Linked DNA regions of Oryctolagus cuniculus. The protein of the gene in region 3 binds, or shares a complex with, the protein of the main gene of each other region. Links are inferred from orthologs where the notes say so. Each region holds a gene or a part of one and is shown on either strand. Other genes may lie near its edges. The genes, in order: USP12, USP46 and WDR20.

Region 1 (3,741 bases), on a different chromosome or scaffold from region 3:
AAATATGAATAAAGACACACCCAATTTTAATAGCACCTTTGGAACAGCCTCACTTGGCCAGGCATGGACATTTTGCCAACAATAAGTGCACCAATCTGCAATTAATGTACTGGGTGGAAACCCTAGAAAGAGCCTCACAGTCTGACATTCTTCAGATCAGAATGCCACTGACATAATGTATGACCTTGCAAAGCTCTGTGCCTCGTTTTCCTGATGTGACTTCAGCAAATACACACACACACACACACACACACAGAGACAGAGAGACTTGAATAGTGTCTGCCTCCCTCGACTAGAAGGTAAACACCATGAAAGCAGAAACTATGGGATCCCCAGCACTCAGCACAGTTTTTAGCACATGAATGAACAGTAAAGAGGATCACCCAATCCTGAAACCCTAGCCTTTGACAATGAACTATGACCCCACGAGGTGCACACTCAGCCATTTGGCAAAATTATCACTGTCAAAGACTTAATTATCACATTCACTTTGAAATCGACAGATAATAACTGGCGTGTCTACAAATAACGAGCTCACACCAACCTTGGAAATCATTTTAATAGAGTCCCTTCACCAATGCGTTCCTCAAATGTAAATCGTGAGAAAGAACAAACACCCGTTTGGGGAAAGGGATTCTTCAATGACTCATTCTTCCACATGACTTCTTCCTTGTCCAGGGTAGATTTTAAGCCCACCTGATTTCGGCCATATTTTGAAATTATTCCTCAACACCCAGGAGAGAAACTGCCTCTTACAAGCATCTCTGCGACCTAACTGCTCAAAGTAGGGAGACATTAGGTGCAAGGCTGCCCCGGGATCTCTTAGGAATTGCGACGCGTGAAAAAGAGCTCGTGAGACCAGGAACAAAAGACTTCACAAGTCTTCAGTACCATAACCACCAGGCTCACGTAGGAAAGAATAACTTTTTTGGGCGATGACTCATAAATTACGATCCCGACATATAAGCTCTTAAGGAGCTAATGAAAGGAAGTTGCCCCATCATGTGGAAAAATGTGGTCCTTCGGGCCAGGCACAGAAACACCAAGTTCTACATGCACTCAGAAAGCTTAACTGGAGACTCCGAAGGCGCATCCGCACTTCTCCCTTGAAGTCTGTTCAAAAGGCCCTAATGAAACAAATACCACCGCCCTTGCAGTCAGCCCCGCAACGGGACGCTGGCCGCTGCACACAGATGCGCCTGGGGGATTAAAGTGAGCAAATGAGAGGAAAGCTGCTTTTCCGAGATTAAAGTGGATGCCGGGGCCAAGCCTGACACCTGGACACACGCTGGAAACGGGGTTCCTCTGGGCGAGCAGAAAACGCAGAGAACGGCCACGCCACTTACTTAAAGTTTCCACCTACACTCACACTCACGGCGCCCCTGGCACGGGGTCGCACTTCTGCCTGGCCACAGCCACCAGAAGCAAACCTACACTTGACTTCCGTCCTCGCCTGGGCAGCAGCGAGCCTGCCCAGCCCGGCCGGCCGAGACCCTTCCTTCCTGCCCGCAGACCCCCGCCCCCGCCGCCGACGCCCGGCCACACGGAAACGGAGACGGCGCGGCCCCGCGGCCCTGCCCCTGCGACCCCCAGCCCGCCGCCGCGCTCCCACAGGCCGGCTGCGCCCAGCAGAGACCGGAGCAGGGCGGCCCGGGCTCGCCAAGGCCGGTGGCCGCCCCCAGCCCCCTGGCCACGTCCAGCACGGCGATCGCCCCTCGCAGCCCGGCCCGCGGGGCGCCTCCTCGGCCGCGGGGGCCGCTAATCGCCCGCGCTCCCCGCCCGCGCGCCGTCCAACCGCCCCCGCCCGGGCCGCCCGCCCCCGCGCCAGGCCCCCGCCAGCGGAGCTGAGGGACGGCGAGCAGGGCCGTCCGCCCGTCCGAGGAGTCCCGGGCCGCCCGCGCCGCACCTACCATGGTACAGATGGAGGCGAATTTGGAGACTGTCATTAGGATTTCCATCCGCCCAGCGCCATCTTCTACCCAATCACAGCGGCGGCGGCAGCAGCGGCGGCGGCGGCGGGCGGGGGAGGAGGGAAGCCGGGCCGCCCGCTCGCACCGCAGCCCGCGGGCGGACCCCCGAGCCGCCGCAGACCCACGCACCGAGCCTGCTGGGCCGCCGCTGCCGTCGTCGCCGCCGGCGCTCAGGCACTCCCTGCCTCGGGCCCCAGCCCCCGCCTGCCGGCCGCCCGCCCGCCCCCGGCTCCGCCCCGGCGCAGGGCGCAGCCGCTGCCTCGGGGCCCGCGCCTGCCCGCGAAGCCTGCCGCCGCACACCCCGCCCAGTGCGCTGGGGAGCGGGCTCCGCCGAGGCCCTAATGCCCGGCAGCTGCGCGGCCCCGCGGCACCGCCCCGCTCGCGCTCGGACCGCCCCGCGCGCGGCCCCGGCGCCGGAGCGCGAGCCCGGGGACTCGGGCCCAGCCCCTCCCGGCGCGCGGCCGGGGGCGGAGCCCAGGGCGGGCGCGCCTCCTGCCCGCGTCCCGCGCGGTCCTAGAGCCTGAGGGCCGCAGAGCCCGGGCTGCGGGCGCTGAACCGGGTGGAGCCGCGGCGGCTGCCGCTGGGCGAATCCTGGAGCAGGATTCGGAAAATTGTGTGTGGAGAGAGAGAAAAGCTGCTCTTGTACAGTGAAGCTATCCCGGGGCTAGTCTCAAGCGCTAGGTTTGTTTCTTTGTTCAGAATTTGGGTGCAAACGCTGTAGCTTACAAAAAGGCTAGCTACTTAAAAGCGAGGCAATAAACACAGTATGTTTGAATTAAAAGGAAGGGTAAGTAGTGGGGGAGGGGAAGGGAGCGAGCCCTACCTGCCTGCCTGCTTGTCAACCTGTCGCTGTAAATTTAGAATGTTTCTAATGATCGGCAAATTGAGCTGCGAAGTGGAGAGGGTCTCAGCCCGACAGTGATGATGGTGTCACGGGAACAAGGAAAGTGAGCCCAGCAAAATGTCAGAGATTCATACTTAAGCAGGGTTAGTTAGTGGGATGATAGCTCCTTTTTTATGCTACTTTTCTAAAAATTCGTACATGCACCCTGCTCTTCGTGTCTGGCAGCTCAGTTTTGTTTTCTTTTATTTAAGAAAGGACTTCAGGTGGGTCGGGTAGCTTTGGATGTGATTGTTTGACAGCTGAACTAGTGACGGGGTGCTTTTCTGGGGTTCCAGCATTTCAGCAGGGCTAAAGGCCCGAATTCAGGCCGACCTCTAAAATTAGGTATAGATTCAAAGCCTTCGAACACCAAAACAAAGCGAGCTACGTTTGGATGAAGAATGGATTTCTGCTACGTGAATGCTGTTTCCATAGTGATTCTGTTATAAGCTTGCTTGGGAGTGAAGAAATGCCGAGTGGGTGCAGCCGCGTGCCAAGGTAGCCAGCCTCGTTCTCCCGTGCCTGCCTTCTGCGAGGCTAGGCACTCTCCCTCCTGCCCTTGATGCCGGGTTAGTGGCTAAGGCCGTGTTTTCACCTCTGTGCATTCATGTCAAGCCTAGGGAGGGAAGCCAAGAGGCAAGTCCTCTACCCCTCCCAGCATCTCCCAGCCCCTGGACGCCATGTAGGAGACAGCTGAATTCCCAATGAATGTCATGGTTCCTAACTGCAGAGCCTCGCAATGGCTTATCTGCTCAAACAAAAAGCACTGTGCTGACCAAATAGACGAGCTTCAGCCCCAGCTCATTTCCTTGCTTGGGTCCTGAAGCTATCTGGGTATATTCTGTAACTTACGTATTCAGAAGAACCCCCAAGAGTCAACTGTACACA
Region 2 (3,737 bases), on a different chromosome or scaffold from region 3:
GCATAACCCCACGTCTTCCGATGAGCTCATCCTTGGTTGGATAAAAGTTGTCCTCCATTATACTAATTTCTCTTCTAATTCCATTTTCCATTTGCATACATTGCTTTCGGAATCTGTCACGCGCTCCACTCACGGGATGGTAGCCCTGTGTGTAGAAGTTGCTCACGTCTGGAGACCACACCTGCCAAGCTGTGCGCTGAGAGCCACAAGTTACGACCCCAGAGGTGGACCGGGTGCGCCGACAGCGCCCACCTCGAAACCTAAGCGCTGGGTCTCCCTGGCAGGGGTGCGTCTTCCTTGAGGAACTGGCAAAGTCCTGTTCTGGCTGCTTCCACCCCTGCACGGTCCCTGCCCCCTGCCCCCTGCCCGGCACCGGACTCCTCCTTGGTACCTGCACCACCTGAGCGCACGCATCCTGGCCCTGCCCGCCCTTCCCGGGCGCAAGGCCCGGCCGTGCTGGCCACGGCTTTCTGACCACTGTCCTGTCCTGACCCCATTTTCCACCCTGGGTCCCCGCCGGTGTCGTGCGACAGGAGAAAGGAAAAGTTGGACGTGGTCACTTTGACCCCACCCCCGGCCCGGCCCCAGCTCGGAACCCCGGGGCTGCGGGGGCGGGAGGGAGACCCGCGACCAGCAGGCGGCCTAGGGCGTCCCCAGCGCCGCGCGCTGCCCGGGCACACAGGCGGGGCCCGCGCTCCGCGAGGCCTGGCCGCGCGCTCCGGCCCGCAGCGAGCGCGCCGGGGGCCCCCCGCGCGAGGCGGGGGAGGCGGCGGCGGGCGGGGCGCGCGGCGGCGGCGCGGACCCACGCGCTCGGGCCGCCCCTCCTCCCGCGCGCGCCCCGCCCCCGCCGCCGCCTCCCGGCCCCCGCCCTCCCGGCCTCCTCTCCCGGCCGAGCTGGAAGCCGGACCCAGGCCGCCGGGCCCGGCCTCGCCGCGCGCGCCCGCCATGGCCCGTGCCGTTCTCCCCTGGTAAAGATGGCGGTGCGCGCTCGCCGCCACCTTTAGACCCATGACTGTCCGCAACATCGCCTCCATCTGTAATATGGTGAGTGCCGCCGCGCCGGGCCACTAAGGGGACCCGAGCCGCGCGCACGCCGGCGCCGGGGCGCGGGCCAGGGCGCGGGGCCCCGCCGGAAGTTCCCGGCCGGGCCGGGCGCGCGGCCGAAGCCACCCCCACCCTGGGACCTGTGAGACCGGGGACCCGGGGCCGCACCGCCGTGCCCCCACCTCGGGTTGCGGTGGAAGCGTCGGGGGCCGGGAGGCAGCGACGCCCCGGGGCAGGGCTGCGGGCGAGGAAGCCCCGCTGTGCCCCCGCGCCGCCCCCTCTGGGTCCGAGTTCAGCCCTTGGGCTTCGCCTGAATCCACTTTGCAGCGGCAGTCGGTGGTGGTCTGCAGAAACCTGCCGTGTGATGGAGCTGTGGAAAAAGTGCGGTTGGGGAAGTGAACTTCAACCTGGCCTGGGAAGGCGCCGCGGTGGTGGGGTCTCATGCCGCGGTTTCCCCGTCTCTGCAGAGGGGGGCGGGGACCTGGACGGGCAGGAGGGCTCCGGGCTGCCCTGCCTGATCCCCCGCGGGCCACCGGCTGCTGGCTGGCGTGCACCCGGCCAGGGGCTCTGCAGTGGGCCCTGACGGGGGTCTGGGGCCGTGGCCTGGTGGGGACTGTAGTTTCTGTTTCTCCCATTGCTTTCTGCAGCAGCAGCTCCCACTGAGTCCCCAGAGCCAGCCCTGCCCGTCTTCCCCTTGTCATAGCCCTGGGGAGCCCGGCTTGGGGTCAGGATGAGTGTGTGTCTGCATGCTCCTGCCCCTTGCCTGGCCTTCCCCGGCTGCAACGCGTGCTCCTGGGGTGCCACTTTGAGGCCGGGACCCCGAGGAGGCTGGGGGTGAGGTGTGCCGGCCGCCCCTCCTCCATCTCGGGCTCTTCTCTGCTTCTGCCCCACATTCTGTTGCAAGAGCCACACCGGCAGAGGAGCACGGAGAAGCCTTGTGTTAGCTCAGGGGCGGCTTCGGCTCTTAGCTCCGTGGGACTTGGCCACACTTGGCCGGGTGAAGGCTGGGGCGTCCCGGAGTGACAGCGGCACAGGTGTTGACATGGGGTGGGCTCCGTGGGGGGCTCCTGTCTCCTCTCCCTTCCTCTCTTTTTCCACGAGGAAGCGGGTTTCCTGCTTTTTGTCGAGTGGCGTGAACGCAGCTTGGTGCCGCTGGAGGAGATGTTTTCTCCTCGCTTCCCCTCGGCTGCTGCCAGTCCTGAAGCCACAGCCGCCGAATGCCTGCCTTCGGGCCTGCCGAGTAGCCAGGCTGGCCCTGAAACCCTGGTGCTGTTGACACCGCTCAGTGTGGAAGCAGCTTGGGGGACGCCGGCCTCCAGCTGCACCGCGGGCTTCTAGCGCACCTGGCTCCCGTGAAACACGCCAGGGAGAGGAGCCGCAGGAGGACAGGACAGGCAGGGGGGTGGCAGGCCCTTGCTGTGTCCGCGAGTGGGACCCCCGTGTGTGCAGCCCTGAAAGCCTGGCGGACCGAGGAGCTGCGCGCAGGCCAGGGGAGTTTTCTGTTCGCACGCCGGTCCTGTGTGTGGGGCGCGTGAGGCAGTTTCCGCTCTCAAGGCCTTGCCACTGCTGCTTCTAACTTAACGCCTCCCGGTCTTGGGGACAAGTTGCTCTTCTTTCCTTATCTTCAGTAAAGGGAGGATACTGGCTCTTACCTCATCCGGACAGTCGTGGCCGGCGCCTCACTGGGGTGCTGGGGCCGCTAGCAGTTGAGGTCAGCACCATCCTTCTCGGACAGGCCTGCGGTGGTTTTGGGCACTGGGGAGATGATGCATGGATACTGACAGCCCACCTGCTGCTTGGTGCAGGCCAGGGGAGGGCGGTGTGTGCAGAGGCTGCTCGGGGACCCCGCCCCTCCCAGCTGGCCTCCCACACATACCTGGAGTGGGCTGGGGATGAGGGGACTGCTGTGTTGCCACCCCATCAGACCTAAATGTTCTTTACACCCTCTTTAGAGGCTTTCCTCAGTGTGAACTGTTTCCAGCGCTGTCTTCTGGCTGGCTCCTCCCAGGGCTCAGCTTCTCTCTGGGGGCTCGAACTGGCCCTGCCCCTCCCAGGTCCACACACTCCCAGCTGTTTGAGTCGTTGTAGTAAGAGCCCGGGGGATTGCATTTTCATTTTTTATTTATTTCTTTTTAAAGCAATTTTTATTTTTTTAAAATATTTATTTGAGAGGCAGAGAGATGGATCTTCCATCCACTAGTTCACTCCCTAGAGGGTTGCAGTGGCCACAGCTGGGCTGATTTGAAGCCGGGACTGGGTCTCCTATATGGGCGCAGGGGTGCAATCAATTGGGCCATCCTCTGCTGCTTTCCCAGGCGATTAGCAGGAAGCTAGATCGGACAGAAGTGGAGCAGCTGGGACTTGAACTGGTGCCCGCATGCTATGCTGGTGCTGCAGGTGGAGGCCTAACCCACTATGCCACAGCGCTGGCCCCTATTTCTTTTTTTTTTTTTCTAAGATTTACTTATTTATTATTAAAAGAGTAAACACAGAGAGAGGGAGGGACAGAGAGAGATTTTTCCACCCTGTGGTTTACTTAAATGGCTGCAAGGCTGGGTACCAGGAACTCCATCTATGTCCCTGATGTGGGTGCAGGGGCCCAAGCACTTCTGTTGCTTTTCCCAGGTGCATTAGCAGGGAGCTGGATCAGAAGCAGAGCAGCAGGGACACACTGTAGCCTGCAGTGTAACCCA
Region 3 (3,641 bases):
TTTTTTTGACAGGCAGAGTTAGACAGTGAGAGAGAGAGAGAGAGAGAGAGAGAAAGGTCTTCCTTCCGTTGGTTCACCTCCCAAATGGCTGCTACAGCCGGCGCGCAGTACCAATCCAAGCCAAGAGCCAGGTGCTTCTCCTGGTCTCCCATGCAGGTGCAGGGCCCAAGCACTTGGGCCATCCTCCGCTGCCCTCCCGGGCCACAGCAGAGAGCTGGACTAGAAGAGGAGCAACCGGGACAGAACCAGTGCCCCGACCGGGACTAGAACCCGGGGTGCCGGCACCACAGGCGGAGGATTAGCCTAGTGAGCTGCGGCGTTGGCCTAATCGTTCATATTTCAAATTGGATTTTTATGCTCTAGCTGCCAGTTGTATCGTATTTTATGTTTTTAGCTCCTTTTTACATGACCTGGTATCTTCTTTGTTCTGAGATGTCTTGCTTATGTTGTTCAGCTAGCCTAGAATCCCCTCTCCCTGCCTTACGCTCAAGGAGGAGCCACTGCCGCGGGCAGCCTGTGCATGGTTCATGGCTCCTCTGCTTCAGCCTTCACCCTGCCCAGGCCCAAAGTCAGGACGCCCCTTTGTTTTGTGTCATACTTTATATTACACTTTTCACGGCTCTTTCATGTATATATTCTCTTATTTCATCCTCCAGACAATCCCATGAGGTTGGTAGAACAGAGATTCTCATCTCCATTTTGACTGAGGTGAGGCTGGGAGAGTGTCCGCATGGCGTGTAACCTCATTCCTGTGCCCTGGGCCAAGTGCTCCGGGCTTGAGTTTGCTCAGAGATGCTTGTAATCTTGAGGTCCTTTCTTCTACTCAGTATGTATATTTGTTTGAAAATCAACTATTAGAACACTTGGCACAATGTCACAGGCCTCTTTGGAAGAAAGAAATCTTCAGAACTTCATGGAGGGGTGGTCATAGAGAACTAGAGGGTGAACCCCACCGTGGCACCCAGGGCAGAGAGGATGTCTTGGCATAATCACTGATGGGAACTGTCTCCACGCGTGGTCTTCACACGCAAGCAGGAGGGGGTGGGTTCCCCTTACTTAACAGTAGCAGCCCAAAATGTTCATTAGTCATGAGGAAGGGAATCTTTCTTGCTCAAAGGAGGGGACATGTTGAAAATAATTTTTATTTTTTAAGTTGCAGAGCCATGTGTTTTTTTATTTTTTATTTACTCATTTTAAAGGATTTATTTATTTGAAAGGCAGAGCAACAGAGAAAGAGACATGGATGGAGGGGAGGGGGCAGAGAGAGAGAGAATCTTCCATCCATTGGTTCACTCTCAAAATGACCACAACAGCTAGAGCTGGGCCAGGCCAAAGCCAGAACCAGGAGCTTCATTCGAGTCTCCCATGTGGGTGGCAGGGGCCCAAGCACTTGAGCCATCACCTGCTCCCCTCAGGGTGTTCATTCGCAGGAAGTGGGGGTCAGGTGTGGAGCCAGGACTCAAACCCAGTACTTCAGTACAGGATGCAGGTATCCCAAACAGCAAGGTAACTGCTGCGCCAAGTGCCCATCCCCCCAGATTATTTTTAACCCAAGTCAGAAATTACTTACTTTTGACTTTGGGGTGTGCGGGTATGTGTTTCTCCCCATTCCCTTTATGGGCAAACAGAACTGGGTTTCAAATGCCAGTTACTAAATAGGTATTGCCGACAGTGGCCAAGTTAACTTCTCCAAATGTATTTGCTCACTGGTAAATTGGGGGAAATACTGTCTGCACTGACAGATTACTGTGAAGATTAAATGTGCGTGCAAAGCACTTGAGTGTAGGCTCAGTAAGTGGAAGTTCCCTGAAAGCTAACACAGAAGAGGGATTGTGGCCCGGAGAGGGAACCGCCTGTGTACGGTTGGCCCAGCAGTGGTCGTCAGACTCACCTGGAAGGCTTTTAAACTGCAGCTTGTTGGGCCCAGCCCGTAGTTTCTGAGACACAGGGTCTGTGGTGCGGCTTGAGAATCTGCTTCCCAAGTCTCCAGGTGGTGCTGCTCTGCTGCTGCTGGTCTGGCGGCCACACTGGAACACTGGGCTGCAGGTAGCTCACCCGTGGGCGTGTAGGTGTCACAGCCGTGTCTGAGAGCGGACCTGTTCCGTGTAGAGTTCCTCTGTTAGGAAAGTGCTTGGAATGCATCCTGAAAATACCGAATGTAGTATCTGAGATTCCCCGACCCCTAAAACCAGAAGTCTTTGTCACAGGAGATAAGCTGTGATTTTTAACAGTTATAAACATAGTATAGCAACATCTAATTGGCTAAGGTATGTGAAAGTGTTTTTGTAATATGTGAGACAAATGTTAAGTCATAACTGAAATTTTTTAAATAACATTGTTTTTAAGATTGAACATCATAATGGAGTATAAAATAGTATAACTTAGATTTCTCCTATGTCAATGTACTGTTTACCGTATGTATTTTTCTCTTTCTCCTCCAGGCTGCTGACTTGAGTAAACCAATAGATAAAAGGATATACAAAGGAACACAGCCTACTTGTCATGACTTCAACCACCTCACAGCCACAGCAGAAAGTGTCTCTCTCCTAGTGGGCTTTTCCGCAGGCCAAGTCCAGCTTATAGACCCAATCAAAAAAGAAACTAGCAAACTATTTAATGAGGAAGTAAGTAGCACCCTGTCTCAGCTGTTAAAGAATCCCTTTAAGAATTTATACATTCTTACCAAGGATAGTGGACCTTGTTTTGTGCTTCAAGCTAAGCCCATGTTTTATTTGCTCGGCTGTCCTGTGTAGTGTTAGCCCCAGTTTCAATGTGGTGGATTAGTAGTGACCTCTGCCTGTTCTCCCTTGGGGTGACTGTTCCATGCATTTTTATGGAGTGTGTGCAGGTATCCATACTGGGGATTTAAAACCCTTCTGTAACAGGTAGAAATGATTATAACTTGATACTCGTAATTTAATTAAAACTATAGAATTCCCAGTGTTCACGTCACCAGAATAATTCCGTGCAGACTAAGAATCTGACAATTTCTATAGGCTGCTGCGGTTGCAGCTGAAGCTTTCTTGTGGTTGTGCACGCGCGGTTCGACAGGCATTTGACTAAGCAGCAGTTCTCTAACTCTGGGAAATATTCGCTGTAAAATCACCTTGGGCATAGTTAGAAATCCTGGCACTTAAAACTGGATCACATGACATAGATTTTGCCAGCTGTAGTATGTGTTAAGGTTTCCAGTTTCTTCGGTTTCATTCTGGAAGGAACCTGAGATAGCCATCAGTTCAGGAACATGTCAGAACTTAAACGCGCCAGACAGAATTTGCCAAAGGGATTAGTATTTGCAACAGTGATTGGAGCGGCTTTTCTCCCCAGCTGTCGCCATCACATATTTGATGTTCCTGCTCCTCTCTCAGTACAACTTCCCTGCGATTGGGAAGGATAAAGCGGGTTTCCTGAATGAGAAGCCCTGGATTCTAGTCTCTCCTGTGACTTCGGCCCTCATATGCATGGGTCGGGTTCTATGAGACCCCGTTCAGAAAGAACAGTGGTTTTGAACTGTTGCATGGCTTTAACGTCATTAAGGTAGAACAGAAGCACATCGTAGAGTCTGGTTTTTAAGAAACAACCTTTTTTGGGGAAGAATATCAAACTTGTCAAACTCAGTTAAGACTGATTTTTGCAGTCAT

Evidence for each region.
Region 1: the proteins of WDR20 (region 3) and USP12 are in contact, whole or in part, in a crystal structure (PDB 5K1C), measured with the Homo sapiens proteins. The link is inferred for Oryctolagus cuniculus from reciprocal best matches to the Homo sapiens genes WDR20 and USP12. Residues at the interface, in NP_653175.2 of Homo sapiens: Asn41, Ser42, Gly44, Ser45, Arg151, Ser170, Lys259, Ser260, Tyr261, Phe262, Gly263, Glu282, Asp283, Asp284, Leu285, His301, Lys304, Ser305, Trp306, Gln374, Asp375, Thr376, Arg516, Met517, His533, Glu534, Arg535; in NP_872294.2 of Homo sapiens: Glu207, Asn209, Thr210, Ser211, Thr213, His214, Arg217, Arg277, Val279, Phe280, Pro281, Leu282, Glu283, Leu284, Arg285, Phe287, Asp297, Met299, Gln342, Glu345, Tyr348, Thr351, Ser352.
Region 2: the proteins of WDR20 (region 3) and USP46 are in contact, whole or in part, in a crystal structure (PDB 6JLQ), measured with the Homo sapiens proteins. The link is inferred for Oryctolagus cuniculus from reciprocal best matches to the Homo sapiens genes WDR20 and USP46. Residues at the interface, in NP_653175.2 of Homo sapiens: Asn41, Ser42, Gly44, Arg151, Lys259, Tyr261, Phe262, Gly263, Glu282, Asp283, Asp284, Leu285, His301, Lys304, Ser305, Trp306, Gln374, Asp375, Thr376, Leu509, Arg516, Met517, His533, Glu534, Arg535; in NP_073743.2 of Homo sapiens: Asn205, Thr206, Ser207, Thr209, His210, Arg213, Arg273, Val275, Phe276, Pro277, Glu279, Leu280, Arg281, Phe283, Asp293, Met295, Gln338, Glu342, Tyr344, Thr347, Ser348.

What each region holds. Positions count from the first base shown.
Region 1 is NC_091440.1:87,335,013-87,338,753, reverse strand, and holds the start of USP12 (ubiquitin carboxyl-terminal hydrolase 12), read right to left. Parts: upstream 2,405-3,741; 5' UTR 1,959-2,404; coding exon 1,911-1,958; exon of another isoform or gene 1-1,910. UniProt on the Homo sapiens protein: Deubiquitinating enzyme that plays various roles in the regulation of the immune response and inflammation.
Region 2 is NC_091439.1:110,974,540-110,978,276, forward strand, and holds the start of USP46 (ubiquitin carboxyl-terminal hydrolase 46), read left to right. Parts: upstream 1-857; 5' UTR 858-1,008; coding exon 1,009-1,044; intron 1,045-3,737. UniProt on the Homo sapiens protein: Deubiquitinating enzyme that plays a role in behavior, possibly by regulating GABA action. May act by mediating the deubiquitination of GAD1/GAD67.
Region 3 is NC_091451.1:45,449,582-45,453,222, forward strand, and holds part of WDR20 (WD repeat-containing protein 20), read left to right. Parts: intron 1-656; coding exon of another isoform or gene 657-708; intron 709-2,441; coding exon 2,442-2,624; intron 2,625-3,641. UniProt on the Homo sapiens protein: Regulator of deubiquitinating complexes. Activates deubiquitinating activity of complexes containing USP12. Anchors at the base of the ubiquitin-contacting loop of USP12 and remotely modulates the catalytic center of the enzyme.